2 linked regions of the Caenorhabditis elegans genome follow. The protein of the gene in region 1 purifies or fractionates together with the protein of each later gene. This does not show direct contact. Each region holds a gene or a part of one and is shown on either strand. Other genes may lie near its edges. The genes, in order: F47B8.8 and txdc-12.1.

What was found.
Region 2: the proteins of F47B8.8 (region 1) and txdc-12.1 fractionate together in Caenorhabditis elegans (co-fractionation; one large-scale study listed by BioGRID). This does not show direct contact.

Annotation. Positions count from the first base shown.
Region 1 is NC_003283.11:14,322,458-14,338,903, reverse strand, and holds F47B8.8 (Aminopeptidase N-like N-terminal domain-containing protein), read right to left. Parts: upstream 7,231-16,446; 5' UTR 7,162-7,230; coding exon 6,951-7,161; intron 6,820-6,950; coding exon 6,518-6,819; intron 6,432-6,517; coding exon 6,324-6,431; 3' UTR 6,237-6,323; downstream 1-6,236. Other genes in the region: srm-6 (Serpentine Receptor, class M), read right to left, coding at 191-439, 483-665, 716-896, 949-1,124, 1,628-1,855; srm-5 (Serpentine Receptor, class M), read right to left, coding at 2,192-2,431, 2,620-2,823, 2,871-3,051, 3,099-3,274, 3,335-3,576, 3,642-3,675; srm-4 (Serpentine Receptor, class M), read right to left, coding at 4,228-4,458, 4,507-4,710, 4,755-4,938, 4,990-5,165, 5,234-5,488; pepm-1 (Aminopeptidase N-like N-terminal domain-containing protein), read right to left, coding at 8,888-9,004, 9,051-9,355, 9,528-9,738; F47B8.5 (Methyltransferase FkbM domain-containing protein), read left to right, coding at 11,081-11,191, 11,291-11,425, 11,724-11,843, 12,346-12,423, 12,487-12,637, 12,682-12,752, 12,797-13,084; F47B8.18 (Skin secretory protein xP2-like), read left to right, coding at 13,440-14,081; F47B8.4 (Glutaredoxin domain-containing protein), read left to right, coding at 14,316-14,410, 14,455-14,707, 14,753-14,932, 14,977-15,297; F47B8.3 (Glutaredoxin domain-containing protein), read left to right, coding at 16,028-16,128.
Region 2 is NC_003280.10:12,234,063-12,251,228, reverse strand, and holds txdc-12.1 (Thioredoxin domain-containing protein), read right to left. Parts: upstream 10,842-17,166; coding exon 10,634-10,841; intron 9,610-10,633; coding exon 9,257-9,609; 3' UTR 9,144-9,256; downstream 1-9,143. Other genes in the region: tag-276 (uncharacterized protein), read left to right, coding at 2,151-2,546, 2,827-2,907; Y57A10A.24 (EB domain-containing protein), read right to left, coding at 3,694-3,775, 3,969-4,313, 4,803-4,917, 4,978-5,087, 5,747-5,953, 6,154-6,288, 6,854-7,039, 7,144-7,263 and 1 more; sinh-1 (Stress-activated map kinase-interacting protein 1 homolog), read right to left, coding at 14,654-14,977, 16,114-16,364, 17,159-17,166.

The sequences.
Region 1 (16,446 bases):
TCTTATCAACGAGTTTGGCAAGTTAAAATATTTGTTGAAGAACACCCCTGAGAAAGGATTGATGACAAGAAAGGAAAACGTGTTGCAGTGAATCAATTTGAAAAATGTTTATTCCCAGATGGAAAACTGTTCCATCAAACAATAAAACAGAATACAATATAGCAATAAATAAACCCATCAGAATTCACGTTTACATATCAGGCTTCATAGCCGAACGGTCGGCTACATTAATCACAGTCGTTTCAACTTCTTTTGAACATCCGCAGAATTTCTGTCTAACTTCTGTCTTGAAGACGAATATGCTGACTGTGTTGATAACGGGACCCCAAACAAAAAGAATTGATAGAAGATATGTGGCAAGTTTCTGAGAAAGTCCAGCCAATGGACCAAGTACCGAATAGAAGAATGGAAGTTGAATGAAGATGAGTGTCAATATGAACTAAAAATTAAAATTTTTAAACTTAAAAATCTATTCGTAATACCTGCATAGTCAAAATCTGATTTGCTTGCTTCTGCATTTTCTTCAAATTTTCACTCATGTTAAGATTTGAGTTCATTTTAGAGTTGATTTTAAAGTAGAAAAATATCATAGCCACCACGGCTACTAGCAGTATCGAGACGTACGTGATACTGGAAACGTATGCTGATATCGAAGTAGCTGTTTTCTAAAATCATAAGTTGTTTTTGAATTGAAAAAAAATACTTTTAAACTTACATCAACTGAAAGAACAAGGAACGAAGTTTCATGTCCAACATAGGACACAGCAATTCCGCTCAGATTGATGACGTCATCAATTACTGGATATGAAGAATAACAAAGAACTCCCGAACTGAGGGAGAGGAAAAACAGATTGATGATAATAATTATTACTGCATGCGAAGGATGAACTCCTCTTCTTTAAATTGAAACTATCAATTTCCATATTAAAATAAAATAAAATAACTCACCGACAAATTTGCAGGTATCTGATGAAATAAATAGTGGGTGATGAGAAAATCTGCTGTGTTAGGAGAACAATCGAAAACATCAAAAGAGTCATGGTCAGAACAGCTGGCATTGAAACTCCAGCGTTTACAATCATTAAACCTTCAAAACCATCGGAAGTTTCAACAGCGACGAATATCTGAAATTAAATGTTGTTATGATTCCTTTTGAAAAAGTTTTACGAATATACGGATTATTCAAGACTAAAACCTTCATGGTTAATTCAGTTGAGAAATTTTAAAAAAAGATCATGCTGTCATTTAAGTAAGTACTGGCTTAGGTAGGAGTCAGGAAGGAAATTTTGTAACTCTGTCAATGCCTGCTATTTTCCAGTCTCTGTCGCAAATCAACAGCTAACACAAGATGATATCTACCGTAACCCTACACTATTTTACAGGGCTCAAACATATATCCGAACACGCATTTCTTCTAACTTTTGGGGTAGTATTAAATGAATGGCAATCGTGATTTCTTACGCTCCACTCCAAACGGATGAATTATAATTAGGGCGTTACTAGGCATCCAAATCTAGTTTTTTTTTTGTTGAATTTTTTTTTTGAAATTGAGAATATAGATTAAAAATTTAACATAGCAGTCTTTGAAATGCACTGAGCAACACAATTGTCAAAAATTAATCCTCACCGGACATGCCAGAACAAAAAGAACGCTGAATGCAACATCCAGTAATTTGTAGATTCCAATAGCATATTTCATATGCTTCAGAATAGTTTTTCCTTTAAGCAAAATGAATGTTGAGATCGAGATCAATGGAATCAGAATTAAACAGGCTGCGACATTGTTCCACCATGCATAAATTGCGGTAGTTGTTGCAACTTCTGGAGAGGCGCCGTTCAGGATTTGAATAGCCATTGATAATCGATAATTAGAATGAAATGGGCTCACAGATCACTAACTTAAGCTCATTTGGATTGAGATTGAGCACAGACTCCAGATGCTTACATGACTAATGAGCACGGGGAAGATCTCACAAGGGAATCGCGAGAGACAAGAGGAGTAGAGAATTGAAAGATAATTTGAATAAGGAGAAAGCGATAACAGCTCTTTCAGTGACGCTCTTGTTGTGTAGTCTACGGAGTGAGATAGAAGCTTGTGACAAGAGGCAATAGGTACTAATTATAGAACCAGGGATACTGAGTAACGCACCAATTCAGTTGGGATTCCGAGATATTTTTATTTTGCTTCGATTCAGTTTTGATTACCACCAACTGATCGTCGAGCATCAGATGTTGTGGACGTACGTTGTTTTCCGATGAGAGCACTTCGGATTTCAGAGTTTAGAATGAAAATGAGAAATGTGTTGAAAACAGGTGACCAGGCAAAGAGGAGAGGGAAAAGGTCTGTTACAAGGCCTTGCGACAGTCCAACAATTGGGCCAAGGACTGAATAGTAGAATGGAACTTGAATAAATATTAATGGGGAGAAAAACTGAAAATAAGAATTATATATTTCATGTTTTTCGGAGGCGTTATTGAGGGCGACCGGCGGGCGAGCGTAAATGGCGGCACCGTGAAATGCATTATTGAAATTTTCTATTGTTTTAAATTTGGGAAACATTTTTAAAATCTAAATCGTTTCCCTCTATGAAGTCCTTTTTGGCTAACTGTTTTACTAACCTGCGCCAAAAGCAGCCTATTTAATTTCCTCTGCAACTCTAGCAAATTGCTGCTCGTATTTGTAGATTCTCGAATTTTGAGGTTCATTTTAATAGTGAAAAATATCATGAGAAAAATTGAAAATACTAGACTTGATACATAACTAACTGCTGAAATAATCGATAGAACTTTGTCGACAGAGTCCGCAACAGAGTCCACTTCTTTCTGAAATAAATATTATCTATTATTTTATACTTTTTCCGTTTATTCACTTTATAAGACAAAAGAAGAAATGCGGAATATGATAAAGTAAACTTATTTGCAATCTCTTGTAGTAATTGTATGTCCTCACTAGTCGGAAGAGCTGCGTAGCATAGGTTCATTGAAGTTAGAATTTGTAGAATAATATTCAAAACAACTATAATTGATACGTCAATACATCCGGCGCCCTTTCTGAAAAAATATTTTCTAATATTTGAAGCACAAAAATTGAGGAAAACCTGCAAACTTGTGCATATCTAATATAATAATGCCATGGCGCTAGAAATATTTGCTCAGTGAGTAAAAATAGAGCTGCTGAAAGAAATATTTGACTGAAATGAAAATTGAATTGCCATCCAGTGTTGACAATCATTAGACCAGAAAATGTATCGTTCATTACAATTGATGTGAATACCTAAAAAATTTTCAGAAAAAAAAAACAAATGAAAACTGAACGGCTTAAAAATATACCTACCGGAGCTGTCAGAATATAACTCGCGCTAAACAAAATCTCCGTGCACTTTGAAATTGCTTGAACTTTCTTGAATAATCTCGTGGGCGTTGAAATTCTAGTTGTGACTAGAAAAATGAGCAAACTACCAATTGTGATACTTAAAATTCCAGCAATAAGATCGTTGTAAAAATGATATCTCTGGATAACTGGTGCAAGCTCAGACGGTGGCCCCAGCTGCATTGATGTTCTATTCCCAGGTAGAGCTGGAAATAAAAATGTAAAAGCTCCTTATTTAAAGTTTCATTTATTTCAATAAAAAAAATCTTACGCGGTGGAGGAAACAAGAACTTTTCAAAATTCATAGTTCAATAATGTGAGTCTGCAAACGAATAATTGGCGCGAGTTTCCAATATTGATACAAATAATAATACTCGATACTTAATCCAGCACCTGACAATTAAATTATCAAGGGAAACATACTCCATTGACTCATGCCACTAGCAAATGTGTTACATCTATACTGACTGGGTGATGATATTAACCGGGTTGTATAGTTGATCTCACTATCAGTCACAAATAAAATGCTACTTACAACACAACATAAATTGGAATTATTCTTCAACTATGTAGACTATGTTAAAATTATATTTTAAAAATTTAATTTAGTTCAACGCCAATTTGTGAGCACTTCAGAATGTAACATGTTTGCTTCATTATTAGAAAAAACCTACCGAAAAATTGTCGATGTCTTGAGCAAAAGATTTAATTGTAAGACAAAACATATTCACAAATAAATCGATTTATTAAAAATATCCAGAAATGTGGTAAGAAACCAACAAACAAATAAACCCAATGTTAAGAGACAAAAACACAGACGCAAATGATACAGAAAAAAAAGATTTTTTGATTTAGAATCAGCTTTTATTTGCAAATGACCGAACTTCAGAAGTTGATACATGTTGTTTTCCGATCAATGCATTTCGAATTTCCGAATTTAGAATGAATATAAAAAGGGTGTTTACAACAGGTGACCAGGCAAAAAGGAGAGGGAGAAGGTCTGTAACAAGGCCTTGGGAAAGTCCAACTATCGGACCAAGGACTGAATAGTAGAATGGAGCTTGAATGAATATTAATGGACAGAAGAACTGAAAATGTTGAAATTAAAGAATATAGAGTAAAATCTAAAGGATTACCTGTGCCAATAAAACTCGATTCATCTTCTTCTGCAGTACCAATAAATTGTTACTTGAGTTTTTTGATTCTCGAACTTTTAAATTGATTTTTATCGTGCACAAAATCATGACCAAAATTGACAAGATTAAAGTTAATACGTAAGCAACCGCAGACATTATTGATCCGACGTGTTCAATCTGTTCCCTGACAGTATCCACTTCTTTCTGAAAAAAAAAACCCGTTTTATTATTCTTCAAAGTTTTTCAACCGTATATGATAAAAGAAGAAATGCAGAGTTTGAACCAGTAAACTTATTGGCAACAAATTGAAGCTCGGTTATGTCCTTACTAGTTGGGAAAGACGAAAAGCAAAGGCTCACTGATGTGAGAACTTGAAAAATTAAATTGATAATTAGCATTTTTAAGAAATCGATACATCTAACACCATGTTTTCTGGAAAATAACTTCAATCTTGTAAATTGAGTTAGAACATCTAAAACATACTTGCAAACTTGATCATATCTAATGTAGTAAAGCCAAGGGGCTAGAAAAATTTGTTGAGTTAGAAAAACAAGTGCCGCGGCAAGAACAATTTGACTATAATAGAAATTGAATTGCCACCCAGTATTAACAATCATAAGACCAGTAAATGAATCATCGACCGAAATTGATGTGAATACCTGAAATTACAATACATTATTTTGATTAAATGCCACCCATCACCGTTACTCATCAGAAGTTGACTTACCGGAGCTGTCAAAATATAACTTGCGCTAAACAACATCTCGACAAGTTTTGTAACTGTCATCACTTTTTTGAATAGTTTTGAAGCAGTTGATATCCGTGTAGTAAATACTAATATCACAAGAACATTGAGCATAATGCTTAATACACCGGCAACCAGATCATTGTAAAAGTGATAACTACGGATAATCGGACCAAGTTCCGCAGGTGGACCAATGTCATCCGAAGATTCACTTTCCGGGGGAGCTGTAGAAGTCATTGGGTGTTATGGATTATTGGTATGACAGATGTTAAATGCTATTCTATTTGATATAAATTCTGCTTATTACGTGTAAATTCTATTATGTTTATATACATACCATTATAAAATTAAGTGCAAAATCACAAGAGCAGACAAATAATCAGCAAGTTGAATGTTTTAAAGTTTAGTGTTTCGAACTTTAATTTAAAACAAAAAACTTACCCGAAATGAGGAACTGATAAAAATTTATTGCTGAAAAATGGCTCGAAAACAAATAATAATAATAATCAGATGTTATTACGCATTTGAAAATATTATTCGGAACATGGAAAATCGGAGGTCTGAAAATTCAGTTACCTCGAGCTTTGACTCAATTAGATCTGAATCACACGAGGTTGGCTGTCTTTGAAATTGTTACGCCTACACTGCGTGGTGGAACAAGTTAAATAGATTCTCAAAAATGTGTGCTATTAAAATGGAAAAAGAAACAAAATAAGTCACATGCTGATCAAAATGAACCACGCAAATTTGGTTTCATTTTTCTCAATCTTATTAAATTATGCCTGCAAATTATTTGATGATTTATAGTATATTCTAACCTAGATTATTCACCTCTATGAAAAGAGAAGTAGTCCGTATAACTATGGCCCACCTTGAATAGACTTCCGGATTTTGCAGATATCGAATAATCTGGTGTTTGCTTTGTTTGGTGCTATAATTGTTTTTCCTATTTTTCTTGTGATATAACTGAAATAAAATCGGAATTCCAATACTTGGAAAATCTTTATGGCAAAATAGAAATTGGGGTAGAAAAAATTAGAAATATTAATCTATTCACATAAAAAAAGATGTTTCAAGAAAAATTAGAAACATTAATGCATAGATTTTCAATAGTAATTTCCTCATCCGTTATGAAGTTCTTCTTGACGCGACCTTCAAAGTCTTCCTGTCCATCGCTATTCTGAAAAATATACAAAAATAGGATTATGTTTGTTTGATGCGGAAATTGATTTTTTTTTAATGTGCTGAAGATATCGAAATCCTTACCAAGTTAGTTTCTACCTGTGATCCTTCACCACCTATCACAGTCAGCCAGGTCTTGATAGCAACACCTTCATAACATGGTGCAACTTTATGTGCATTTCCATCTTTCATATTTGCCGTAATTGAGTTCTCATCAACCGCAAAGAGGCCAGTAGTTTGCCCTGCAATAATTATGGGTCCAGTAAATTCTAATTCAATGTAGAATCCATTTTGTGTATTGTCTGGGGTTAGCGGTGTGTCCAGTGAAAGTGTAAGAATCTCAGATTCCAGATCATGGTTATAGTCGTCACATAACACACTTGCATCTGAAACTTGGGAAGTTGTATTGTTTTGTAATGTCTTGAAATTCAAAATTTGAGTCCATAATTTTTTCAGCACAATTACTATTGAGAAAAAAACCAAAAAAAAAACCGTTTCAAAATTTAAATTAACTTACAAATGGGACATTCCAGGTATACAGCGTAAAAATTGATCAGCCTAATAGAAGTCCATTGAAAATCCCTTGATGCTTGAATTTTGATTTCCGAAGTTTCTGCAGTGAATTCATAGTCGACTCTCACTTTTCCGCAGTAAGTCTTGTTTGCCATATTTGGATCGAGTTGGAGCATGTATCTAGTCGGCCGATATGTGGTGAGAAGTTCCGACATATTTCAATAGAATCAGAGAATAAATGACAGAAATGAGACGGCCTCGACAGTTTGATACGAGTGAAAACTGGTTTGTAGGAGGAACACGTGCACCCGTAAGAGATAGAGAAAAATGAAAAAACATCGATTGAATTTGTAAATATTTTCTCCTCGGAAAATCAGAAAAAAAATAAACAAAACATTTCAATGCCATTGTTTTGAATTTATAAACTTATCTTGACTAGCAAATCGGAGAGTTGCTAGGCTTCGCAGTTTAGTTCGGCGTAGAGTAACTCAAGAATAATTCGCTTTATTCGCTAAAGTTTAGTCAAGTGTTGAGTAAATGCCAAGTAAATGTGCTGAAGTTTGTCAAGACCGGCCAAATTTAGTTTAATATTAATTTTAGAAATAAAAATTTTTTCAAATTTTTTTGCTTAAAATAGGCTTAACAGTTGTCCAACGCATCTGCGTCTATTTGGGCTTGCGACACTCGAACTGAATTATTATGCTAAGAATAGGCTTGACGGATCTCCAACACTTCTTCGTGTATTCGGGCCTGTGGCTCTCAACTCGAGTTTTTGGGCTCAGTATAGGCTTAACGGCTGTCCAATACGTTTTGTGTATTCGGGCCTCTGGCCCTCAATCCGGTTAACTGACCTAGGTGACCTTTTTCATTACTTTTCCAAAAACATACGTAGTTATAGAAACATACCTCTCAGAGAAGGCCTCCAGCCTGCTCTGCTGGGTGTAGGGATAGAAAAGGCCTAAAGTTTCAAAGAGTAAGAAGGTGGCCCTAATCCCTGATTTTTGGGTTTGAGTGAAATACAATAGCATTGCAGGCCTCCAGCCTGTCCTGCTGGAAGTCAGGTTAAAAGTAGCCAACATGTTCAAAAAGTGCGGCCCTCAATTAGATTAGGGAAAAAGTAAAAATCTCGAAAAGTCTTCAAAATTGAGTTTTCCTCACGTTATTAAAAATAAGAAATGAAAATTATCGAATTCATCACCAAAAATAGAGAAAGAGAGAGAGTGGTAGAAAAGTTTTTCACGTTTAATCAATCTTTTTGATTTTGCAAAAATTGAATGATGGCCTACATTTTGGAAAGTGCGCCAATTTTTTTCAAAATAGTTTCAAAAAATTGGAAATACGAAGTTCTCTCTTGCGCACAAATTGGAACCAAATGTCAGAAAAACTGAAGATTTGGGGCTGAAAAAACATGAAATTCGTCAGTACAAAGAATACATCCATTTCGACCATACTCCAGAATTCCGCTCAAATCAGTGTTTTAGCCTTCCCAAAAGCTCCCCCACAATGATGACGATGGAAGGCGCTATTTTTATAAGCTATTGAAACAAATTGCTCAAGAAACCGCCAACCCTAAGCCAAGATATAAGCTCTCAAAGTGCAGTCACATTTCTCGGGACACCCCATTACGACAACGTGCCCTTATTTTTTATTTCTGTCAAGAATGCAATTTCAGGATTTAATATAGGAAGAGGCAGAAAAAATATTTTTATGAAGTTCACCCACATAGGACGATTAACTCGAGACCCCTAACAAATCAGAAAAAAACGCCAAGTCCAAAAATTTTCGGAAACTAGCAACTTCTTGATACGTACCCCCCAAGCACACGTGAACATTTAGTAAATTTGTCATACTTATGAAACATCCAGGGAACACATACATATATGAATAAAAAAACTTATTCATTGATTCGGTAAATTAATTGTTCAAAAAAAATTGGAAACACTATTCCATATCGATAATTGGTGTGACATAAATGTAAACATCTTCAATAGTAAGTTCTTCTTCTTTTAAAAAGTTATTCTTCACTCTTCCTTCGAATTCTTCGTGCCCAGCGTCATCCTGAAACATTTATCAAAATCAAAACTCTGCTTTTCCAAAAGCATACCATATTAGTTTCAACTCTAGTTCTTTCATCAGTTATCACAGTCAGCCAGAACTTTGCAGAAACTCCTCCCTCATAACATGGAAATACTTTATGAGCATTCCCATCTTTCATATTTGCTTCAATAGTACTTTCATCAATTGCATAAAGTCCAGTAGTTTCTCCCTGAGGATTTATAGGTCCAGTCCATTCTAATTCAATGTAGAATCCATTTTCAGTAGTTTCAGGAGTGAGGGGGTTTCCCAATGGAAGAGTCAGTATCTCTGATTCGGCATCATGGACATAGTTTTCACAATCAACACTTGCATCTGAAATTTGGAAAAATATTTAAACAAAAGTCCACATTTTTGAAAAATTCGGCAATTTACCAAAAAGGTTGACTGCCTTAAAAACATTTTTTATTTGGACGTTGATTGCTCAACATTAATCAAAATTTTACTGATTCAAATCTTTTAAATAGACTTAAGTTTAAAAACTTACACACAGGACATCCTTCATTGAAATCGTAAAACGTGGCAAGTCTGACAGAAGTCCACTGAAAATCTCTAGATGTTTGAATTTTGATCTCCGATGTTTCTCCTGTGAACTCGTAATCGATTTTTACTCTACCATTGTATGAGTTATTTCCCAGATTGGGATCAAGTTGGAGAAGAATTTTAATTGGCCTGTACGTAGTAAGAAGTTCTGACATTTTTAGTTGTAAGGTCAAACTGAAATGAGAATAGATGGAAATGAGAAGGCGTTTACGATTGAAAATGTGTGTGAGAAATACTTGTTGGTGGTAATGCAACAAAATAAGAGAAATGGAAAAAGATTGCAGGCAGTTTTGGTTTTTGGTTGTTGGTAAATCAAAAACAATACCAAAAACAACAATAATAACTGAATACTTTGGACATTCGAATTTTTGACAATGCAAACATCGCGAAAACTCAATTTTTGAAAACAGCTTTCTTTTAATTTTTTCAATTCAGTTTAGATAACTTTCTCTCGAAAAAAAGCGTATGTAGCCTGAAAAGGAAAGCAAACGACATATCGCATACACTTTGTAAGGATTTAATGGACGTCATCAATGTTGTTAATTGAGAAAAAATTATCTTTTACAAAGATCAGAGAAATCTAATACGTCAATTATCTTTTTCTATATGTTCAAACTAAATAGAAATACGGAAGAGTGGTGGGCGCATGGGCACATCGTTGAAAAAAAGTTTTATGTAGTCTACCAAGATTACGACAAGTCCTTACCCAAGGCTGTAATTTTGCAGATCGGCTTATTGCCAAACTTTTGAAAGGATTGACCGAAATGTTTTTTGTAATACATCAAAAATCGAATAATTTTTAAAAATGGATTCGACGCTTCCTTACAAGATGTACTCTCCACATAAAGTTTTTCTCACTTACCAAATGTAGGGTGAAATACCACTCTAATTTTTTTGAGTTTCTGACAAGAAATCATTCAGTTCTTAAACAATGACGACTTGAGAGACGGTTCTCATACACAGTAACCTTCCCTACGCCTTCATGAATATAATCGCGAAAAACTGCCAAAACAATCGCGAGGCTGCTAATAAAATATCCTTTAAAATTTAAAAAAAAATTGAAGATCAAAAAAATAAATTTGTTTTTCATTAAGAAAGTAGACAAGAGAGACAAGGAAACTGAATAAAATTTACCCTGAAATTGTTGAAGAAAATGCTTTCAGCGTATTTTCCATTATATTCAGTCCCGTAGAATTGCATTTCTTGATCGATAAGGATAAAAAATTCCAGGTTATAAAAATCTTCCAAAACCGGATGTCAATTTCTGTTTAAAATTTTGTAAAAGTCCCAAAAAAGGCGTGAAAATGGCACACACATAATCCGAACTTTTGATATTCCTTGTTGATCTCTTTCGTTCACCTGAACTTCTCAATCTAATGTTGAATCAATATTGAATGTGTTTTCCCCTATAATCTCCACCCCTTTTTCCGTTCTCCATACAATAGCTTATATGTAGGAATTGGCAACGGAATTCTTATCCACACATCTTTTTCCCAAATGTCGCAGTTTCTCATGAAAACGACGAAAAATAAAGTTCAACGATGTGTTAAAATTCTGCTCTTATTCACATTATTTCTAGCTTGTTACAAAGTTTTTATTGCTTATCTGGTAAGATTCTTTCAAAACTTTTGAGCCTTCCAACAAAGTTTTTATTTTTTTAAATATCAATTAAACGGTTCAACATTGAAACTTTATAGAAATTTTCAGGAAGATGTTCGAGAAGAAGCCGCAGACGAAGAAGACCTTCAAACAGTTTTTATGGACGCGAATAAGAAGGAAATTTTTAAGAAATGGCTGGACTGTGCAAAGTGGAGCCTCTTGGTTATTGATGATCCTGTTCAGGTATGTGGCTATAGTCTATAGTAAAAGGCTATAGTGAAAGTTTTTTTAAAGTAACAAAAAATCTGTAATGATATCTATGAAACTGTTTCAAAAATACAGTAAGTTTTAAAAATGTTCCAAATTAAAGTTGAAAAATAACTAAAAATAATTTTCAGCTAGAAAATCAATTTTTTTACATTTTTTAACTTTTAGTTTAATATGAAACATTTTGAAATACTTTCTGAAATGTTTCAGTGAACTTACTAAAACAATTTTCAGTAGTCATTTTTAAATTCACTTTCCAAATAATTATTTTCAGTTCTGGACTCAATTTACAAAGTTAACCAAAAAATGCGACGAAGACGCTGAAATCGACAAGCTTGGCCTCATCACTCTGAAAAACAAGGATGAGGATAAAGTTGCAATTTTGCCGAAAAATGTGAGTTTTATTTTTTTGAAAAACCGTATGATCACAACACGTGGAATCAGGTTATGCTAAGGTGCATAGAAAACAGATCAGATAACATTGAAACAGTGAGATGTTATCTCTAAGGCTTGCCTCATTTTTCGTGGAACATAAAACTTATAACAGAAGGAAAAAAGCAACGGCTGATTTAAGCGGGAAATGGAAATTATTTATAGGAATCGAAAATTTTGAAAAGGTGAATGAGAAGTTATGAAATTGGAGAAGCTTTATTTATTTAAATGAATTCGCCATCTTTTAAAAATGTATAGAAAAAAAATACACTGTAGTTTAAAGTTGAAAAAAAAAAGATTTTTTGGTTACATTGAATTTCCTGTAAGATGGGAATTGATGAATTTCAAAGGAAATAAAAAGTCAAAAAGAGAAATTGAAAAAATATACAAAAATTTCCAAAATAAATCAGTTCAGTAAAGTACTTTTTGAGCGTGTCAAGACAAAACAATAACACTAATTTCAGTTCCAGAATGATGAAAGACACACATTTGTAACCATCGGAATTGGAAAAGACATCACTGGAGAGCAAAGATGGCAAAGGGTGTGTTTTTATTTGAAAAAAAAAAACTGACAAATATTTTGGAAAATTGAGCCAAAATTGCAGAAAATGGGAAAACTCGGAAAAACCGTCGAATTCTACGGTGCCGACCCAATGACTGAAGTGAATGAACATTTATACCCACAAATAGGAAAATATTTTCCATTTGCAGTTGCTAAAAATCCAGGATATGCCACGGCCAGTGTTTTGATAAATAGAAAGTTTTGAAATACAATTTGAGATGATTATTCAAATTTTCAGGGCAATATTTTAATCAAAGTGTTATTCATGTAGACATGATGTATTTTGTGGAAAGGCTTTTAAAATTGAAGGTATGGTTTTAAACTTTTCTAAGTTTCAAAAACTATTATTTCAGACAATTGACAATTTGTGGATGGACTCCGAAGGTGCCGAATACGATCTTTTTGAAATTTTCGAGAAAGACGGAAGTTTTGACAGAAATGGAATAGAACTCTGTCAAGTTAATTTAGAAGTTCATCTATCAGAAACGGGTCCTAATAATTTACACTACGAACGATTTATGCATTTCGTGAAGACACTGATAAAGGAAGAACGATTTGCAATCTTTCGAACCGAAGAAGTGATACATATGAGAATGTATATGTTTAATTTTGACAGTGATTTTTGTCGGCGTAAATATTAGGAATTTCAAATAAATAGTTTAAAAAAATCCTGCAATTCGTGAAGATCTTTAAGTTAATATTGTTTTCACAATTTTCAAAAAAAAAACTTCAATTTTCAGTGTCTTTGCAAAAATAAAATTAACAAAGCCTGCAATAATTTTTGAAGCGATTTGTTTGTTTTCCTTGTTTAGCTTCTTCAATTTTATTACATTTTCAACTTCTCACTTTCATTTTCACAACAAAATCAAGTTCTTATTGGAAGGCGAAACAGTATATAAACAGAAAATCATCGAGAACGGCATCATTTCACCTTCTAATTCCTCATCAAGTGAGTTGGGATTTCCAGATTATTTAACTAAATATTAATTTCCAGGTATGAATCTCCTTCTGATCTTCGCTGTTTCTACTTTAATCTTTTCTGCTCACTGTCAGTATTCAAGTGGCGGAGGAGGTGGTGGTTACTCAGGTGGTGGAGGTGGTGGAGGAGAAGCTGCACCACCATCTTCACCACCTGCCGATGCAGCCCCTGCTCCACCACCAGCTCCGGAACCAGTTCCAGCTCCAGCTCCAGCTCCAGAAGCCGCACCTGTTGCACCATCAGCTGACGCTGGAGGATATGCCGCTGCGGCTGCACCCGCCGGTGGCGGATCTTATCCAGCCAAGAAGAGAAGAGTAGCTCGTGATTATGCTGAAGGAGAAGCTGCTCCAGCTGCTCCAGCAGAACCCGCCCCAGCTCCAGCTCCAGCTCCAGCACCAGCACCCGAAGCGGCTCCAGCACCAGAACCAGCGCCAGCTCCAGCACCAGCACCAGCACCAGAAGCCGCTCCGGCTGCGGCACCAGATGCCGCTCCAGCAGAACCAGCTCCAGTACCTGAGGTTGCTCCTGCCCCCGCACCTGCTCCAGCAGCCCCAGAATCAGATGCCAGTGGTTACTCCTCTGGTGCTGCTGCTCCAGCTGGAGGTGGTGGATCTTATCCAGCCAAGAAAATGATGCGCTTCTCCCGTCTCGTTTTTTGAAAACTTTTTATTCTACATTTTCGATCTTGCTTTTACCAACTGGTTCATTTTCATTTACGGTTCAAATGACATCAACTTTTAATAAAATGTTTCTATCATTTCGCATGTGCTGTTTACTTTTTGCTGCTCGACCAGGTGATACTCTTATCAGTTGAATACTTGAATACTGCACACTGACTGTTTTGTGTTCCATTTCAACACATTTGTTGTTTACTTCAAAACTACTAAACTGAAATGGGAAATTATCTTGAAAGCTCTTCAGAAGAATTCAATGAAGCTGCTTGGCATTCAAGTGAGGAAGATTTCAGTGTCAAACTTACAGTTTTAAGGTATATAGGAAACATATTGCGTTCACCAGAAAGCACATTTTCAGAGATGCAATGATTCAATTACGAGTTCAGTTTCTACATTTTCAAAGTATTTTCTATCATCAGAATAAAGCCAAAATTGAGCACGAAAAGAAGTCACTCAATGTTATAATTATAGTCGTTCAAAACCAAATTGACGATATAAAGCTGATAGTTGGAGAATATTTCAAAATCAAGAACCTCCAGATGTTGAAGACAATTATTGATAGCTTTGAGTATACATTGAATAAAATAGCATTCGAAATAAGCAAAGCAAAAGTAATGTTTTTTTATTTTTTTAGAAATTTAAGAATAGAATTTCAGGGCCAAAATTTTTTCATCGAGAAGGTAGAGAAACTAATCAACAATCTCAATCCATTCGACGTGCCAATTTACGAAAATATTCAAGGCGTCGTATTAGAACTGAATACTCAAGTTTCATCAATGGGAAATATTCCTGAAAAACTAGAAATTAAAACGCAAAGGGAGACTTTTCAACTCGAAGTGAGTTTAAATCTCTTACAGTTTGCTACAAAATTATGTTACAGGAAGAAAATGAGATCAGAATGGATAATTGTAGAATGATGAGTGGTCAAGCTAAAATTTACAAAATCTTCCGAAAATCGGTTGTTCTTTTCGTGAATTATCTTGAGGATGAGCAAACTTTATCTACAATACAATCACTCAATGATAATCAAATTGAATACACTATATTTGATGTTTCCACAGATTCTGAAATTCGATTTATTTCAAAAGCATTATCAGATTGTGAAACCTTCCCTCAGCTGTTCGTTGATGGAGCTTTTGAGCCATTGCCAATTCTGAAAAATCTTCTTCCGAAGCTTCCCAAGGTCTACACAATGAATTGAGCATCACACAATTTCTAAGCTATATGTATATGTATTGTTTATTTTTTATTATCAATTTAAAATAAATTTTTTCAAAAATAATGATATTTAAAAACTATTCATTCATATGATTTGCTATCGAATTTCATCGATTTTAGTTTTTCGTTAATTCTGCAAGATTTTCCGAAAGGACGTACGTAAAAATGTAGTTAGAACGTTTTTATTTGTGCTTTATTAAAGCAACTCTACTCTTAAAAAAAACTATTCTTAAGTTTCAAAAATAATTGTCAAATAATGACTCGCGAGATATCAGCTGCTTGAACTTTTTCCAGAGTTTGGATATGAGATTTCCTCAATAGGAATCATGTAGACAAACTTGTGGAACATTTTGGCGTTTGAAAGATTTTTTTTGAAAAAATCCTCCATTTTTGAGCTGTGCTTAAAAAGCCATTGAAACAGTAATTTTATATCTCATTTTTCTTAAAATTCTCTTTCTGACTTTTTGGTCATATCTGAGAACAGAGAACCCTGGTATCCCTCTCACATGGCATCTCTAGCCTCTCTGCCATCCTCCTGTTCCTCACCGATGCACCATATAAATCGAAGAGAAACAGAGAAAAAGCCTTGACTATGAAACACTGCGTCTCCGTTCTCTTACACTATTTATATGTTTGCTTTTTTCTCGAACTAGTTATTCTTCGCCAACCAATTTTAATTTTTTCTTTCTTTTGCTTCGTCCTTCTAGGAAACGATGATGCGCGGAGTTTTTGGAAAGTCTCCGGAGAAACTGAAACCCGAATTGGAAAGTGAAGCTGGTGAAGAGGATTTAGGTGTGAAACTCACAGTTTTGAGGTGAGAGAAACGTTCCCTAAAACATGAAAAACTAGTGACGGTTGCGAAATAATTTAAATTTTTTAAGATGTTCAGACAGTAAGTTTCAGATTAGAAAAGGCTCTTTTAGCTGAAATTCTGAGGTGGAATAAGAAAAATTCAATTAGGTATTAATTGTAAGTCCAAATTTTCAAATTATAACCAAGAAATTTGATTCCGAAATTTCAGTTGAATATTTCAATTCCACTCCTAATTTTATGTTTTGTATTTTTCGATAAAATATTTCATTTTAGCATACAAATTTTGCCTGAAACCGTAATTTTTCCGTTGAAAAACGCG
Region 2 (17,166 bases), on another chromosome or scaffold:
AATGTAACTTTTTTTCGGGATTTTTAAAATCCGAAAAGTTCCAAAAACACATTTGAAATAATATAAATTCTCTGAAAAAAGGTGGAGTGAGGCTGTCCCATTACGGTTTGATCTACGAAAAATGCGGGATTTTTTTACCCAGAAAAATGTGACGTCAGCACGTTCTTAACCATGCGAAATCAGATTGAAAACTCTGCGTCTCAACTCCCGCGCATTTTGTAGATCTACATAGATCAAACCGACACCACGTGTAAAAACCCATAAAAATAAAAATTTTCAGAAAACACCAAAAGCTACAAAAACGGACAATTCCCAAAGAACCAAATTCGAAAAGCCTTTAGAAAAATCAGAAAATGTATAAAATTTCTGAAAGTTCCAAAAAACTTCTTTAAAATGCTGAAACAATTTCGGAAGATTCCAAAAAAAATACCTGAAAACCCATAATTGCAGAAATTTTGAAAAAGTACAAAAAAAAGTAAAATGTAATATTAGGTTGGTCAAAAAGTCTTTGCAAAATTCGTATGTTTCTTCATTTCTCAGCGTTAACTCGTTATTTTCCTATTCTGTTTTTTTATTTGCATAGTACGTAATGTGCATGTTTAATACATTTGAAAAAACTTTTGGGTGTTGTTCAAAATGACCGAGAATTTGCTCGCCGAAGGTCACACCCTCCGAGGGGTTTTCTGTATGGGTTCCCCCAAGGCTGCAATTGCAACGAAGCTCGTGGTAACATGTGTGCAGTGTTAGGCAATAATTCTGTCACCTATAATACCATAAAGTTTTGGTTCGAAAAGTTCACGAAAAAGAACTACGATCTCGATGATGAACCAAGATCCGGTCGGTCTCGTTTGGCTATCAATAAGGATAATTCGAGAGCCCTGGAAGATGATCCAAGAGCAACGAACCGTGAACTTTCTGCGACTCTCAAGCATCTCCAAAGAACCATCATCAACCATCTCCGCGAAACCGGAAGGGTAGAAAAGTTCGGTCATCTCGTTCCTCACAATTTGTCCGATTCTCAGAAAAATTGTTTTGTGACCTCTCTTTTTCGCTGCTCACTAGGAAACGAACAACAGACTGGGTATAGGATATCACTACTGGAGATGAGAAATGGGTATTGCATGTTAACTATACCAGAAAGAAACAGTGGGTCCCGGTCGAGGAAACCGTGAAACCTGACCTCAAAGGGGAACTTCAAGAGAAAAAGTGCTTCTCTAAATTTGGTGGGACAGTAAGGGTGTAATTTTCCGAGGACTTTTTCCAGACTCCGTTACAATCAACGCTGGCCTATACTCTATTCAATTGGAAAAGATGGTCCGTGCTCATCGATTACATCACCCTAGAGAATCAAAATTTAGGCTGCTCTATGACAACGCAAGACCGCATACAACTTTGAGGACCCGCCAGAAGCTCCAGACACTCGGAATCCAAGTTTTGTCTCACCCACCGCATTCGCCGGACTTGACTCCTACTGACTACCATTTGTTCCGCTCTCTCCAGAATCACCTTACCGGGCAGAAGTTTCATGATTGAAAGATCGTCGAAACGTGGTGGGACGACTTCTTTGCCTCCTAATCTCAGGAGTTCTGTGCGGAGGGTATTGCTCAACCTTCGTTGGGTTGGCAAGAAGTCATATACACTAATGGTGAATATATTACCCATTGAATCTCGTTCGCTTTGAATAAATACTCTCTCCAAAAAAAATTCAAAAAGTTGCAAAGACATTTTGACCAACCTAATAATTTATGCAAATTCCAAATTTTCTAAATACTCCTTCTTTAAACATTCCGTTAGAATTAAAGTATCCAATTAAAATTTCTGAAAATTCCAATATTTTTAAAAACTAAAATCTGAAATCCCCTAAATTTTGACAACTTTTTTCCATGTTCCTCAGGGAGAACCCTCCCTTATTTCTCAAACAAAAATGTACGTATGTACCAAATTTATATATTCACAATCGTAAACCAATCAATAACCATTGTTTCCTTCTGCTTTCCCATTGCCACGTTGCATAGCCCATTCCCCCCCGCCCATATATCGATTTTTTGTTGTTGCCAAATTGCAGCGTCCTACAGGGTTAGGTCTAGGTTAGTGTCATTCTTAACCACATATCTCAGTTCTTCTCTCACCTTTTATTTAACTCATTCTAAATGCCATCTCACACCAAGCCGGTCTCCAATGCTGCTCTCCCAAGAGTCCCAGCTCCACTGAGCCCTGCTCAACAAGTCAGAAAATACACTGACTACTTGCTCAAAGAGCACAACCGGTACTATGCACTGGAGTGTCTTCTCTTCCTCGACTGCCCGATTCGAGTATTCCGGGAATGCCGTACCGAGCAAATTGTCAAGAGCCAGTATGATGGACGGTATGAGTACCAGTACCCAGTCAACTTGTTGCTCCAGAAGCTTCGTCGTCTCGCTGCTCAGGAGTTGGAGCAGGATGTTGTGGAGCAAAAGATGCGGGAGGCTTCGAAGAACAAGGTGCTCTTCGCCAATGTGCTCAATATTTTTGCGGATTTGCAAAAGGAAGCGGAAAATTTCTCCAAGGTTAGTTTTTGTTGTTATTTTAAAATTTTGCTGAGAACTTTTTAATTTTCTGAAAACGAACTCAATTTTTAAAATAATAAAATAATTTTCGATTATTTTTGTACTTAAAATACCTACATATTAAGTTAAATTGCAATTTAAAAAAATTTCAAAATAAAAAATCTACACCGATTTTGCGCCGTAAATTTGGCCTGAAAAATAAAAATAAAATTTCGCACCAAATTAAATTTAAAAAAAAATTTCTAAACCTGACCAAACCACCTAAACTAATACTTTCCAGACTACAAAACAATCATCCACGTCACCATCAAGCTCCTCTTCATCCGAAGAATCGTCGGCTTCTTCCTCCCCAGTCGTATAATTTTACCAAACTTATTATATTCGTTGCCAATTTTTCATAATCTGTCATTATTTTCTTGTGTTTTCAACTAATTTTCCCTCATTTTTATTATCCAGTTTTTCAAAAAAACTAATCCCGATTGCAATGTTTCTTGTCAATTAAAACTGTACATCACAGATAAAACTTCAATTCAGTTTACTTATGTTTGCAAAAATATTCAGGCTTTAGGTTTTTAAGCTTTCAGGCTTGGACCGTTGAGCCCAGACTTGGATGCTAACATTTGAATTTAGATTTTCAGAATTATGGCTTTTGCTTAGGCGTAGGCTTGGGCTTAGGCATAAGCTTGGCGTCAGCTCTGAAAAAACATAGTCTGAAAATGCTCTCATTATCTACACACTCCAATTTTTCAGTGTTAAATAAATAAAAATTTGACTCCTAACTTTTTACATTTTTATAGTTTTATTAAAGAACTTGTTATTGTGAATCGAATGCGTTATGAATTATTGCAAAATCTTTGTTTGGCTTTATAGAGCAGTCTGAAAATGCTCTCATTATCCTAGGCCTAGGCTTAGGCTTAGGCTTAGTCTTAGACTTGGGCATAGGCTTAGGCTTAGGCTTAGGTGTAGTCTTAGGTGTAGGCTTAGGCTTAGGGTTAGGCTTAGGCTTAGGCTTAGTTTTCCAAGTTTTTGTATTAGGCTGTTTTTAAATTAAACTGTTTGAAAACATGTTCATTAGCTAAAAAAATATTTAAAAAATATAGAATTGGCACAAATATTCGAAAAAAAAAACAAAAATCAATAATTAAGCCTAATAGACCACAGGCTTCCGAATACAACATAGATAACTGTCGGTAGTGGAAGATGGTAGACACGTGTAGCCGAGTGGGCAGCTGGAATTATTTTAAAATATCGATTTTTGAACGTTAAACGTTTTCAACAATATATGTATGTTAGAATTTTTTTAATTCCGATTTAAAAAAAAATTTTAAAAAATTGGATAAAGATAATAAGATAATACTGATTTTTAGAGTTTCAAAAAACAATCGAAAAAAATTTTTTATTTTTTATTTTTCTGGAACTCACTCCAACGTAAACAGTGATAGACAACGCTGCACATCTTGATTAACATTTTTCGACGGCATATATGAAAATGGGCATGTCGGCTGCGCAATCACTTCTTCCTCTTCAATCGGCTTCTCAGTAGTTGTAGTAGTTGATGACGTCATAAACGTAAATGGCCCAATCATTGGAATCTGTGGTGGAAGGATTCGGTTCATTTGAATAGTACAACACACATAGACATCATCAATATCAGATTCTTGACACGAATATCCTGATCGAAGAATACACGGATCTCCGATATGATCACAAATGTATGGGAAGCCGTTTTCCATGAGTGGACGGGCTTCAGGGTCTTGGCAGTTTGGACTGTAATAAATATTAAGATATGATTAAGATACCTTTGATGGTTTAAAAGTAAAGTAACGCCAGTGGGGATTGTGTCTAAATACACTTAAAATTATTTCAAATGACCAAATATCATTAACAAACAGTCCAAAAATTTTTAGATTTTTCATTATTCCCGGTCAGTTTTGGAAAATTGCAAACATTTTGAAAAATATGAGCCTTTGAGGAAATCCAAAGCAATTTCGCATGTTCCAACCCCTACAATTTTTTAATACAAATAATTAAAAAAAAATTACAGTATAAAAAATGTAGAAAAAAATTTTTTTTTGGTTGACTTCCAAAATTATGAGTGGCAAAAACTGAGTAATTGTCACTTTTTGATAATAAATAAAAAAATTTCAAAAATTTTTTGAAATTTTTTAAAATGATATTCGATCATTTTGACACCAATGGAGTAGTTTTAAACACTTTCCCCTCTGGCGCTACTTTGCCTTTAATTAAGCAACCTACACAGATTCAAAAGGGTATGGTTCTGCAGTAGTTGTGGCTATGGTTATGGGAGCCTTCATAGTAGTTGTAGTGTAGTAGAATGGAGGGGGTAGAAGGGTTTTACGGCTGTTGCCGACTGAAATTTTTTTTTTTCTTGAATTTTAGTTTTTATAGGTTTAAGCAATAAAATACTCACGTCGATTTTTATACCGCTTACAGCAAATATGGGCGGTCTTCTCCTTGTTCAGCTCACAAAATGCTCCTTGTGAGCACGCCGGAAAAGCTGGGTCACATTTTTCACCGGTTCTGGAATAAGAATCAATACTGGGATTTTTTTGTAATTGAGTCATAAGCATTTCTACAGTAATCTAGACAATCAAGTACATTTGAAATTTTAAAAAAACTCGAGGAAATAAAATTTTTGGAAGTTTTTTTTGCTCTAAATGACATAAAATAGTTTCAATATACCGAATGTAACTGTAGAAAAATTCAATAGAAGCACCTAATAAAAAAATTTCGAATTTGTTAAAATGATTTTTCAATTATTCAACAATTTAAAAAACGGCCGAAATATATGGTTTGCGCGGGAATTCAAATTTAATTCGGCCGTTTCTTAGATTTTTTAAAAATTGACGAAAAATCATTTTAAAAAATTAGAAAATTTATTTAAAAATTTTCCAGATATATTTGGTCATTACGGCTCCATTTTCTGGCATTTGAATAGTTTTTAGTGTTATAAATCAAATATTTTTGCAAAATTGAAAAAAAATCGTTAAAAATTTAGAAAAATTTAGAGAAATTCCATAAATTTTTCTACAGTTATACTCGGTATATTAAGGCTATTTTCTGGATGATAAACACTGAATTAAATTTTTTGATAATTTTTGACAAACGGAAACTGAGCTACAGTACCCCAACAGTACACTATACAGTATACAGTACTACAGTACAATGTAGTAACTTACCCATTCTCCCCATTCCTACAAACCATCTCAATTCTTGAACCGAATGATTCCTCGGATGGACAACACCACATCTCATTCTGAATTTCCATGCACTTTTCATTTCTCAAACATCCGGCTGCGCACACACTTCTCGCAAACACTCCTGACGGGCATTGGGCTAACGAACAACATACACGAAGACCCGTCGGGGTTAGCGAACATTCGTAGCTGGAAATTTGAAATTTGCGGTGCAATTTTAGTTTAGAAGTTCTGAAAATGTTTAAAAATTTTTGTGAAATTTCAACTTTAATTTTCAAAAAATCAAAAAATTGATTCCAAGTTTTAGATGTTTTTCGGAAAGTTTCGAGCAAAAAAAATTAGCTCCTGGCTATTTTAAGAGCATGGCTTGAGCTGTAAAATTCACTTACCCCATCCCACATGGCTTCTTGTTACAGTCCCTCGGCACCAATCCATTCATCAAAATTTGACTTCCAACACCACAAATATCGTCAGAACTTTGACAGCATACCTCTACGTTACTGGTGCGGAATTTTGCGCAAACTCTGAAAATATAGAATTTGAAAAAAAAATTTTCGAATTTAATTTTTTTAAATTAGTTGAAATGTTAAATTTAAAGCATCATACATACAATTTTGCCAATTTTTTTCACAAAATTTTCGGCAAAAAAGCTTTTGTGGTGGGACCCAAAAATTCGAAATATTATTTAACGTTTGATTTAAAAATTTTTTTCATATTATGATATTTTGTTTGAATTCGGGGTACCCCGAAATAAATCTGAATTTTTACTTTTTTTCTATAACAGTTTCCAGGAAAATATCGGTTCTGAAACTTATCGTGGTGGGACCCAAAATGTTCAAATGTTAAAAAAATTTAATTTGTGATACAAACAGTTTTATGCTTTTGTTCAAATTTACAAAATCAAAATCTTCAATATTATGTGAACTTTCTGAAAAATCTAAAAAAATTTGAAATGTTCAAAAATAATTTTTTTGGGCACTAAAAATTTTTCTCCAGTTTTTTGGTGCAAAAATTGTAAATTTCGAGTTTAGGTAACATTTTCGTTTAAAAATAAATTTTTTAATTTTTAAAACGCAGTCCAAAACTAACCCCTGAACACAATCCTTGCACAAAACCAGAGATTTCCCATCATGTGCAATAATTGGATGGGATTTCGGACAGATTTGGGAGGAGTCTAGTGACGTCATCAGTGATGACGTGGATTTTTGCATCGGCTTTTCCTTTGGGAACGGTGCAGATTTGGAGAGTTTTAATTGTGATGTTATCGGGAAACTTCTGTAAAAATATGGATTTATTTTATTTGTAGTTATAGTTTTTATTTTAGAATGGTCTTCTTCTCCCAGAAAACCAAGAAGTGGGCGGAGCTTAAAATCACCAACTTTTCAATGCTCCTGTTTGAGCAGCATATCGACATTCCATCCTGACTACTTGATACACAAAATGATCCATCTGGGCAGTTATTCTTACGTTTTGGAAGACATGGAAAGCCGGTAGACATCCTGAAGTTTGAGTTCAAATATTTTTGGCGCGAAATTCAAAATTTCAGATTTTTAGCAACTTTGGCGCGACTTTCAGTTTTTGAATCTTTAAAATAGTTGGGGCAAGCTTCAAGTTTTAATTTTTTTGATATAATTTTTTTTTTTGATAATTTTGACAGAAATTTTAAAATTTCAATTTTCGCCAAATTTAGATATTTCAAAAATATCAACAAAAATAATTGGCGCCCAATTTAAATATTAAAAGAAATTTCAAAAAATGGTGCTAAATTTAATTTTTTAGAAATTGCAAAAAAAATTTAGCGCCAATTTTAAATATTAAAAAAATTTCAGAACAATTTTTGCGCCAATTTTAAATAATTCAAAAATATCAACAAAAAAAGTTGGCGCCAAATTTAAATATTTAAAAACTTGCAAAACAAATTTGGCGCCAATTTTAAATATTTAAAAAAAATTTTAAAAAGTGGCGCCAGATTTAAATATTTTAAAAATTTTAAAACATTGTGACGTCAAATTAAATTATTTAAAAATTGCAAAACAATTTTGGCGCCAAACTTAAATATTCCAAAAACTTCAAAAAAAATTGGCGCCAATTTTAAATATTTGAAAACATTTAAAAACAATTTGGCGGTAAAATAAAATTATTTGTTTTCAAAAAACAATATATAATCTGCGAAGTTTAACACAAAATTCAAAAAAAAATTTCCTCACCTATAAGCCGGATGCCTGCACTGCGGTGGCGGTACACAACATATACCCCTATGACAAAATGCTCCAAGAGGACATAAGCTTGCACACGTCTTCACGTGCTCCGTATCCGTTAGTGGAAGCTGTCCAACAGGGCAAAGATCCTTCAGATACTGATAAGGAGAAGCTAGGGCTTCAGAATTGGCAGAGGTGATAAGATTTATTAGAAAAATCCAAAGAAATTGGGAATTTAGAACTAAATTTCGAAATTCAAACTGCGAATTCATATTGCTGGTAGAGAAATGACCCGACGATGTATAAGAGGAAAATAATTCGGAACATTGGAGAAGAGACGTGACATATTCTGAATATGAGGATGTTTACATAACTACTCAAATATAGGGAAGGAGAGAAAGTTTCTTAATCCCTTAGGAAACTGGTTTTGATTAATCCTTCCATGTAGGCGCCAAAAGGCCTGGTGTGCCTACCTTGCGGCGACCTTCACCTGCCTCGGGCCTTCTGTATAGTGCGGAACCCGAAAAGTGTCGGCCGCGGCGGAAGGCAGGCGGGCAGACAGGCGTCAGGCCCTGAAACCGCGCCTGCCTCCCATGAAAGCCTTGATTTAGATTTGAACCAATATGTGGGCGGTGTATTTTAAATCTCCTATTTTGTGGCAAAATTCAAATTTTTTTTGAATTTTTTTAAATTAAACAATTATCGAGAGCAAAATTCAAAAATTCATGAAATTATAAATTTTTTCAAACAAAAAAAATTTTGTTCAGATTTAAACTTCAAAAAGCTTTTCAGATTTTCTAAAATCACCGAAAAAAGCCTGAGCCTAAACCAAAGCCTAAGCCTACGTCTAAGCGTAGGCCTGAGCCTAAGCCTGAGACTAAGCCTAAGCCTAGACCTAAGCCTATGCCTAAGTCAATTTCAAATGAATGCAAAATTCAAAAATTTCAAAAAATTAGTTTTTTCAAAAAATTAGTTTTCAAAAGTTTTTTGGCTGGAATTTCAAACTTTCCTGAATTTTTCAAAATGTCACAGATTTTCCTAAAACTTTTTTTTTTTCTAAAAAATTGGCTAAAAATTTTCAGGCACAAAATGCAATTTTCATAAGATTTTTAAAATTTTTTCGAGGTTTCGAAAAGGTTTTTGGCGCGAATTTAAATTTTTCGTAAAAACCGACGTATCGAGAACCAGTTTATTCGTGATAATAATTAATAATAGTTAACAAGATTGGCAAAGAAATGATAAGAAATAAATTAGCTGAAAATCAATCAATAAATCAATAAAACAATCTCTATTCTTACAATTCCTTCTTCTTTCCCTCTGGCTTCTTTGGCTTAAGCTTATCACCTCTCTTAGCCTCTGGAATGTCAACTCCAAAATGTTTAAGCACATCCTTCATAGAGTTAAGGATATCAGCTGGTGATGAGTAGTAATACGCGTAATTTTTGTATTCGGCCTTCTTATTTTTGAATTCTTGAAGAAGATCTCCATTTTTGTCGAGGAAAAGCAGACGTGGAATGTACTTTCCGTCTGGACGGTACTCCTCCTCGAATGGCTCGTCGTCGTCTTCGGTGTTAACCATTACAAAGTGCTCTGAGAGCTTTTTGAAGGCTTTCTTGGCGTTGGATTGTTGGAAGGTCTTCTTGAGAGCTGGAAAATTTGAAAATTCGAAATTGAAACATTTAAAAATTAGGCTTAGACGTAAGCTACAGCTTGGGCTTAGGCTTAGTCGTAGCCTTACACTTAGACTTAGGCTCAAACTTAGGCTTAGGACCCCAATAGATTTTATCCTTTTTTCAGATTAGTGGAATTTGTTTGGAATTTTTATTGAATTTTTGAAAGCTTTAAAATAATTTTTTATATAATTTTTGGAATTTTTAAAAAAATTTTGAGGTTTTTTCTCGCATTGGATTTTCTGGACTTGAAATATTTAAACTTCAAATTTTTTAAAACCAATTTTCAATTTTTTCACAAATTTTTAAACGAATACAATTATGTTTAAAGTTTCAAATGTTGAGTCATAAAAATTATAAATATTATTTTACATCAAATTTAAACTGTGGTTCGCCCACACACGGGTCCCATCACGTGAAAATTTTTGAATTTCCCAAAATTTGTACAAATGTGCATTTTTCTTAATTCAAAATTTTGCACGTTTTTTTTTGCAATTTTCGAAAAATATCAATTGAATTTCCCGATTTTTCCCTTGAAAACTATATGTACAAGCTTTGTGGTTTACAAGGTGTTCTGACACCATTCTTTGAATTAATAAAAAAAAGTGTGTCAAGGATGAATAAATCCCTCTCCTTTCTTGTCTTTGGTCGGTTACCCGGAGAGAAAATCGAAGCTGCAGTGGGGAAGGGACATGTGAATGTGCGCTCTATTGGACTAACTTGTTGAATAAAATGATTAAATTTCAAATTATTAGTGAAGCATGTAATCAATCACGCGGTGTCAGGGTGTCTCACTTCGGCTTGATCTACCTAGATCTACAAAAAATGCGGGAGAAGAGTCGCAGAGTTCTCAAATGATTTCGCATGATTAAGAACCTGCTGACGTCGCATTTTTAGAGCAAAAAATTCCCGCATTTTTTGTAGATCAAACCGTGATGGGACAGTGTGATACCACACGTATTATAAGAAATTGCCTAAATTTTCTCAACTGCCGCTCTTACCTTTGCAAGCATGGCACCAAGACTTGTGGATCAACAAGAAGATTGGCTTATCAGTATCCAAAGCAGTCTCAATTGCATCTTCCCACTTGACCCACGCAATATCGTCACCAAATCCACGTGCCAATGGGTTTTGAATAGAATCCTTGATCTTGTCGAAACTCGCGTACGCCGACGCACTCACAAGTGCCAAGAGGAGAAGGGATCTCATCTGGAACAACGGGGAATTGGATGGAGTTTTATACTAAACAGAAAATATAAGTTTAGCATGCAAAAAAAAGTGATCAGATACTTAAAAAAAACGTTATTAATGTGGTTTATATGTATAATTTAAATATTATTACTGTTGTGAAAAATATCATTTTTACACAACTCAAAATATTCACTACAATTTGTTTAATTGAATGTAAAAAATTTCTGATAATTTTCAAAAAAAAAAATTAAAATAATCCCCCAGCCCCACCTATGCCTAAGCCTAAGCCTAAGACTAATCCTAAGACTAAGCCTAAGACTAAGCCAAAGCCTAAGCCTAAGGCTAAGCCTGAACCCGGGCCTAAAACTAAGGCTAAGGCTAAGCCTAAGCCTAAGACTAAGACTAAGACTAAGCTTGAAAATGAACTGTTGTGACCTTTTTTTTCCAGCGTTTAAAAGCCATTGCTGTTATAAAAACACAACGATTATAAAGTTCTGTTATAAAACATACTACTTGTTGTTTTATAACAGAACTATATAATTGTTGTGTTATTCATTTAATGCCCGTTTTACGAAAAAATGTCGAAAAAGAAACTTTTTCTATGCAATCCCGTTGTTAATAATCTAAAACTAGAATTTTTTAATATCACTATCCTTTGTATTAGAAAAGCTGTATAAAAAACCACCTCTAAAAGTGAAAGGTATGACGAATGATGGAGAAAAGAAGAAACAGATCAAGATATTGAGGTCATTATCGAACTGCAAAAAACTAGCCAACGGTCGAGGTCGTACCGATGATAAGGATCTCGGTGTATCTATGGAGGGGTGATCAGAAACCATAAAGAAGGTGCTTTGATGAGTTTTTGCAGATAAAAAGGGTTATATCAATGATGTCTGGAAAAAAATATGAAGCAGAACGAAAAATTCAAAAAGCAACTACAATGTTTTGTAGCAAAAACATGATTCGGTGATTCAATTTTTTTTTGTTGGAAGTCTCATAAAACATTACTATTTTGCACATAATTTTTGGTAATGCATTCTAGAAATGGTGGTGGTTACTATATTTCGATCGATGTATATTTTAATAACTTTATGAATTATAATTAGGGTTTTTACAATTTTTTAAACAGTTTTCTTGGTTAGGATGATTCCCATATAAAAGTTAGTAATATATAATTTTAATAACGTTATTGAAAATAATTACTTTCACGAAAAATTAACCCGTTTGCTTGTAAACTGTATAGTTACAATGTTCATAACTAACTAACTAATTGACAAAGTAAAAAACATGTATTGCTTCATTTTATTTGCGTCAAACATTGTCTGATTTTATTAGTATGAACAATTCAATACTGTTAAATACTGACGATTTTTAATAAAATGCATTTAAGTATACTACATAATTAAAGAGCAACACTAAAGAAGTTATTCACGTATGTATGTCGTGAAATATATTAAAGGGGGAGTAGAGTTTGTAAGTATTTTGCTTAAATAGACTAAAACTGGTCCAAAACCACCGAATTTCATAATGAGACTTCACAAAAAATTTCCAAAAATTTTTTATAGCCGGTCAAAATTTCGAAAAAAAAAGAGTCAAATTTTGATAAAATCTGAAATTTTGCACACTTTTCTTAGTCACAGCCACTGAACTTTGGTTTTTCTGAAATTATCACCTTTTAATCCTTGTTTTGGTAATTTATCTCATTCGTTGATTGAGACAACTTTTAGGCCGATAGGCATCCAATTTTGATCATTTTTGGATGCCTATTGGTCTAAAAGTTGTCTCAATCAACAAAATTCCGCAGGATAAATTATCAAAATAAGGATTAAATGGTGATAATTTCAGAAAGACTAAAATCCAGCGGCTGTGACTAAGAAAAGTGTGCAAAATTTCAGATTTTAGCAAGATTTGACTCTTTTTTTTTCGAAATTTTGGCGGACCATAAAACATTTTCGGAAATTTTTTGGGAAGTCTCATTATGAAATTCGGTGGTTTTGGACCAGTTGTAGTCTATTTAAGCAAAATACCCACAAACTCTACTACCCTTTTAAGATACATGATAAGGTATTACGAGAATAACCTAAATATATAACCCGTATCTAGTTAGCTGTCGATATTAGGCCACATATAATTAGATTTTTATTCGAAATACGTAACATCACATTTTTGAACAACTTAATCAGTATTAATCTAATATAATATAGTGTGAATAGGATTTAACAAATATAGTGTTAGCTGTCGTTTTTTGATAAATCCTAATACAATTACGGCATTAAAATTGGAGATAACCCACCCGTGTATCTACATATTTCGAAAACATATGTAATTATGACTCTATTCGGTTATAATACATAAGAACCCAATAAGTTATTAAAATTGAAGATAGCTTTTCTACGTAACTGCGTTCTTTGAAATTCAATCTGATTATGTTCCTATTTGAATAAACGTTATGAGAACCCAATAAATTATTAGTAAATTACTCGAAAACTAAAATCCAAACATAACAAGAAGCTGTGTATGTGAAATGGAATGAAAAGTCGGAAATGGCAATTGGAATCCTTCCTTCTTTCCTTCTCCAACACACACAAATTCACCGATGAGTTGGAAGACAGAACAGGTTCTGTCTGCCGTCTCTCCGGTTATCCCATACTATTTCGCTTTTTTTCTTAGAGATTCCGAGAAGAAGAAGAAGAAGGAAGCAGAATGTGAATTGTACACGTCGGCTAACGGTGTACGGTAGGAGGGTAGTATGAAGAAGTGAAGCAGGGGCAGTGGAATAAATGGGAAAAATGAATTGATAATATGTTAATTAGAACTGCACATACACACACAAATGTGGAATATTAATTTGTATTAGTATTGAAGAAAATTGATTGATATATCACAATATAGAGGTGGAATAGGAAAAAGAGGTACAGTGATTTTAGGAATAACAAATTTTTTTTTTTTTTGAAAAAATAAATTTTTCCGGAAAATGAACAAGAAAATCACAATTTGATTGGGTTTTTGTCTCAAATTTTGGGATTTTTTCGAATTTTTGGGTGAAAATAAGAAAAATCAATTTTAAAAAATTTTTGTAACATATTTCGAATCTTGAAACGTAACTTTTTTGGAATTTTTTTGACAATTTTCAAAATTTCCTAAAATCGTAAATTTTACAGGAAAATGCAGAATAATCGGGAGTTTTTCGAATTTTTAGGGGAAAAAATATATCAAAATGTGGCCGAAAATAAGAAAACATTACTTTTTATTTCAACATTTTTCGAAAATTTTCAGTTTTTTCAGAAATATCCAAAAATCGCAAAATTTGATTTTTTTTCAAATACTAAAAAAAAAAAAATTTAATCGTGATTTTTCCGAAATGCCCAAAATTAAAAATTTCGAATCTTTCAAAAAACTTGCCGAAATATCCAAAAAATCGTAAAATTTGAATTTTTTCAAATATTTTTCAAAAAATGTTTTAATCGTAATTTTCCCGAAATAACCAAAATTAAAAAATTTTCGAATTTTTTAAAATTTGCCGAAATGAAAACATAAAATTTGTTTTTTTTTGTTCCAAATTTTCCGAATTATTCAAAAAAAAAGTGATTTTTGAAAATTTGAATTTTGAAAATTTTTATAAAATTTCAAAACAAAAAAAAGTGATTTTAGATTTTCAACATTTTCCGGTATAAATTTCTTAGAATTTTGTAAAAATTAAAAATTCCGAAAATGTTTTTTTCTCAATTTTTTGGAATTTTTTTACAAAAAATATCAATTTTTCAAATACACTATTAAAGCAAAATATATATCACAGCAAAACAAAAAAACCTAAAAACCTAAAAAAAAAACTACTTAGAATCAGATTTTCGTCTTCCCATCACACTGGCCATCAGGCTCGACATTTTTCGAAATTTTCCTCCATTTTTCCCATTTGAGGAGCGACTTGGAGCATCTGACGACGGTGAAACAATGGCTTCGGCACTTTCCATTAGAGCTAAATCAGCACTCGCTGCGGGGCTTAAAGTACCGAATGAGGAATGTGAAAAGGCTTTGTAGATCGAAGCGTCGCGGGCTTGAAGTATCGAATTTGTTTGGCTGAAAATCTCGTCGACGTCTTGTTTGAAGAATGTCTCGAGTGTAACGCTACGCCATTTTTCTTCATTTGCGTAGATCTGGAAGAAATTGAACTTTTTTTAGTTTGCAATGTTTCCGAATTACTAATTTTGGAAAATAATTTTTTTTAATAAAAATTGTATTTTTTTAGGCTCGAAAATTTACAAGTTTCAGAGCATTTTCCGACAAAAAAATTTTCAAAAAATTTTAACAAAAGGTTTTTTTTAATTTAAAATTGTATTTTATAGGTACGAAAGTGTACAAATTGCCAAAAAAATGGTTTTTAGAATTTTCCGGTAAAAAATCATTTTTTTAATGTTAATTCTTCACAAAAAGTACAAAAAATTTGTTTTTGAAAAAAGAAAATACAACTTTTAATGCATTATTTATGACCAAAACTCAGAAAAAAATTTTTTTTAAATAAAAATTGCCATAACTTTGCGGATACAAATTCAATTAGATTTATCAAAAAAAAAAATTAAATAAAAGGTTACATCTACCGAAAAAAAATTTTGTTAAATTTTTATTTAAAATTGTATTTTTTAGGTTTGAAAATGTGAAAATTTTAGACGAAATAAAGAAAAAAGTACAAATTGTTTTTAAAAAAATTATTTTAATTTTTTTTCCCAAAAATTGAAAAAAATTAGTTTTTGAAAATAAAAACTTTAATGCATTTTTAAATTTAAGAATTAATTTTTTAGCTTTTAAAATGACTAAATTTCAGAAAAAAAAATTAAAAATTGTCAATAAAAAAATAATTTTGCAGAAAAAACAACTCGATTTTTCAAAAAAAAAAAACAATTCGAAAAAAAGTTTTTTTTTTCAAAAAATTAGATAAAAAATACAATTTTATTTAAAATTGTATTTTTTAGGTTCGAAAATGTGCAAATTTCAAACAAAAAAGAAAAAAAACTGCCAAAAATATTTTTTTTTAGAATTTTCCGGGAAATTTTTTTTTTCAAAAAACGAAAAGGTAAAAAAATTGTTCTCAGAAAATACAAAATCTAAGAAAAAAATTTGATGAATTTTTTGCAATTATAATTTTTATTTTTTAGTGCAAAATGTCCAAAATTCAAAAGAAAAATACAGAAAATACCAAAACAAAAAAAATGTTTTTTCGAATTTTTCGGAAATTTTTTTAAAACATAATTTTTTTTTCACTGTTTTTCTAGTTTTTTTCAGCAATTTGTTAAACCTTTGCAACAAGATTAAGATTCCATTCAGCATCTCCAATAACATCTTTCACAGTTTCATCACTGAGAACCGGTAACCAGAAGAATGTGATCTGCCACATGTCAACTCGTCCAGCTTTTGCATCTTTCAGTTGTGTACGGACTCCGCCAACATATTCCCATGGTACTTTTGTATGCTTTTGATATCCTTGTGGTAGGAATGCTGATCTATCTTCACGATATTTTTCGATTTCGAAGCATGTCCAACGGAATACTGAAAATTATTTATAAGTTTTTTTGAGTTTTTTTTTTCTGAAATTTGGAAAAAAAATTATTTTTCCGGGAAATGCTCAAAAAAAAATTTTTTGCAATTTTTTGTAATTTTTTTTCTGATTTTTTCTGGCATTTTTGAACCTAAAAAATGCTTCAAAAAAATTGTTTGGAAATTTTAATTTTTTTTTTGAAAAATCGAATGCTGTTTTTTCCGCAAAATCATTTTTCAAAAAATAATCAATTTTAAATTGTTTTGAAAACATTTTTCAGCAATTTGGTTAATTTTAAACCTAAAAAATGATTTTTTTTGCAATTTTTGGAAAGCCCAATTTTTTTTTGAAAAACATAATTTTTCCGGAAAATGCTCAAAAAATGTTTTTTGGCAATTTGTGATCTTTCCTATTTTTTCTGTAATTTTGTTTGGCATTTTTGAACGTAGCTTAAAATGAAATTTTGAATAAAAAATTAAACTTTATTCTGAAAAATTTCTTTGGCAATTTGCACTTTTTGTAATTTTTTTCTGATTTTTTCAGGCATTTTCGACCCTAAAAAATAATTTTTTTTCCCAATTTTAGAAAAAAAAAATTTCCATATTTTTTTGAAAATCGAATTGTGTTTATTCCAGAAAATTCAAAAGCTTTTGTTAGCAATTTGTAATTATTGCATTTTTTTTTCTTTTTTTTTTCTGGCATTTTCGAACCTAAAAAATTTCACAGAAAATTGTTTTTATTAAAAACAATTTTTTTACATTTTTTTTTGAAAAAAAAATTCTGAAACAGTTTTAAACCACCGTACTCAGGTTT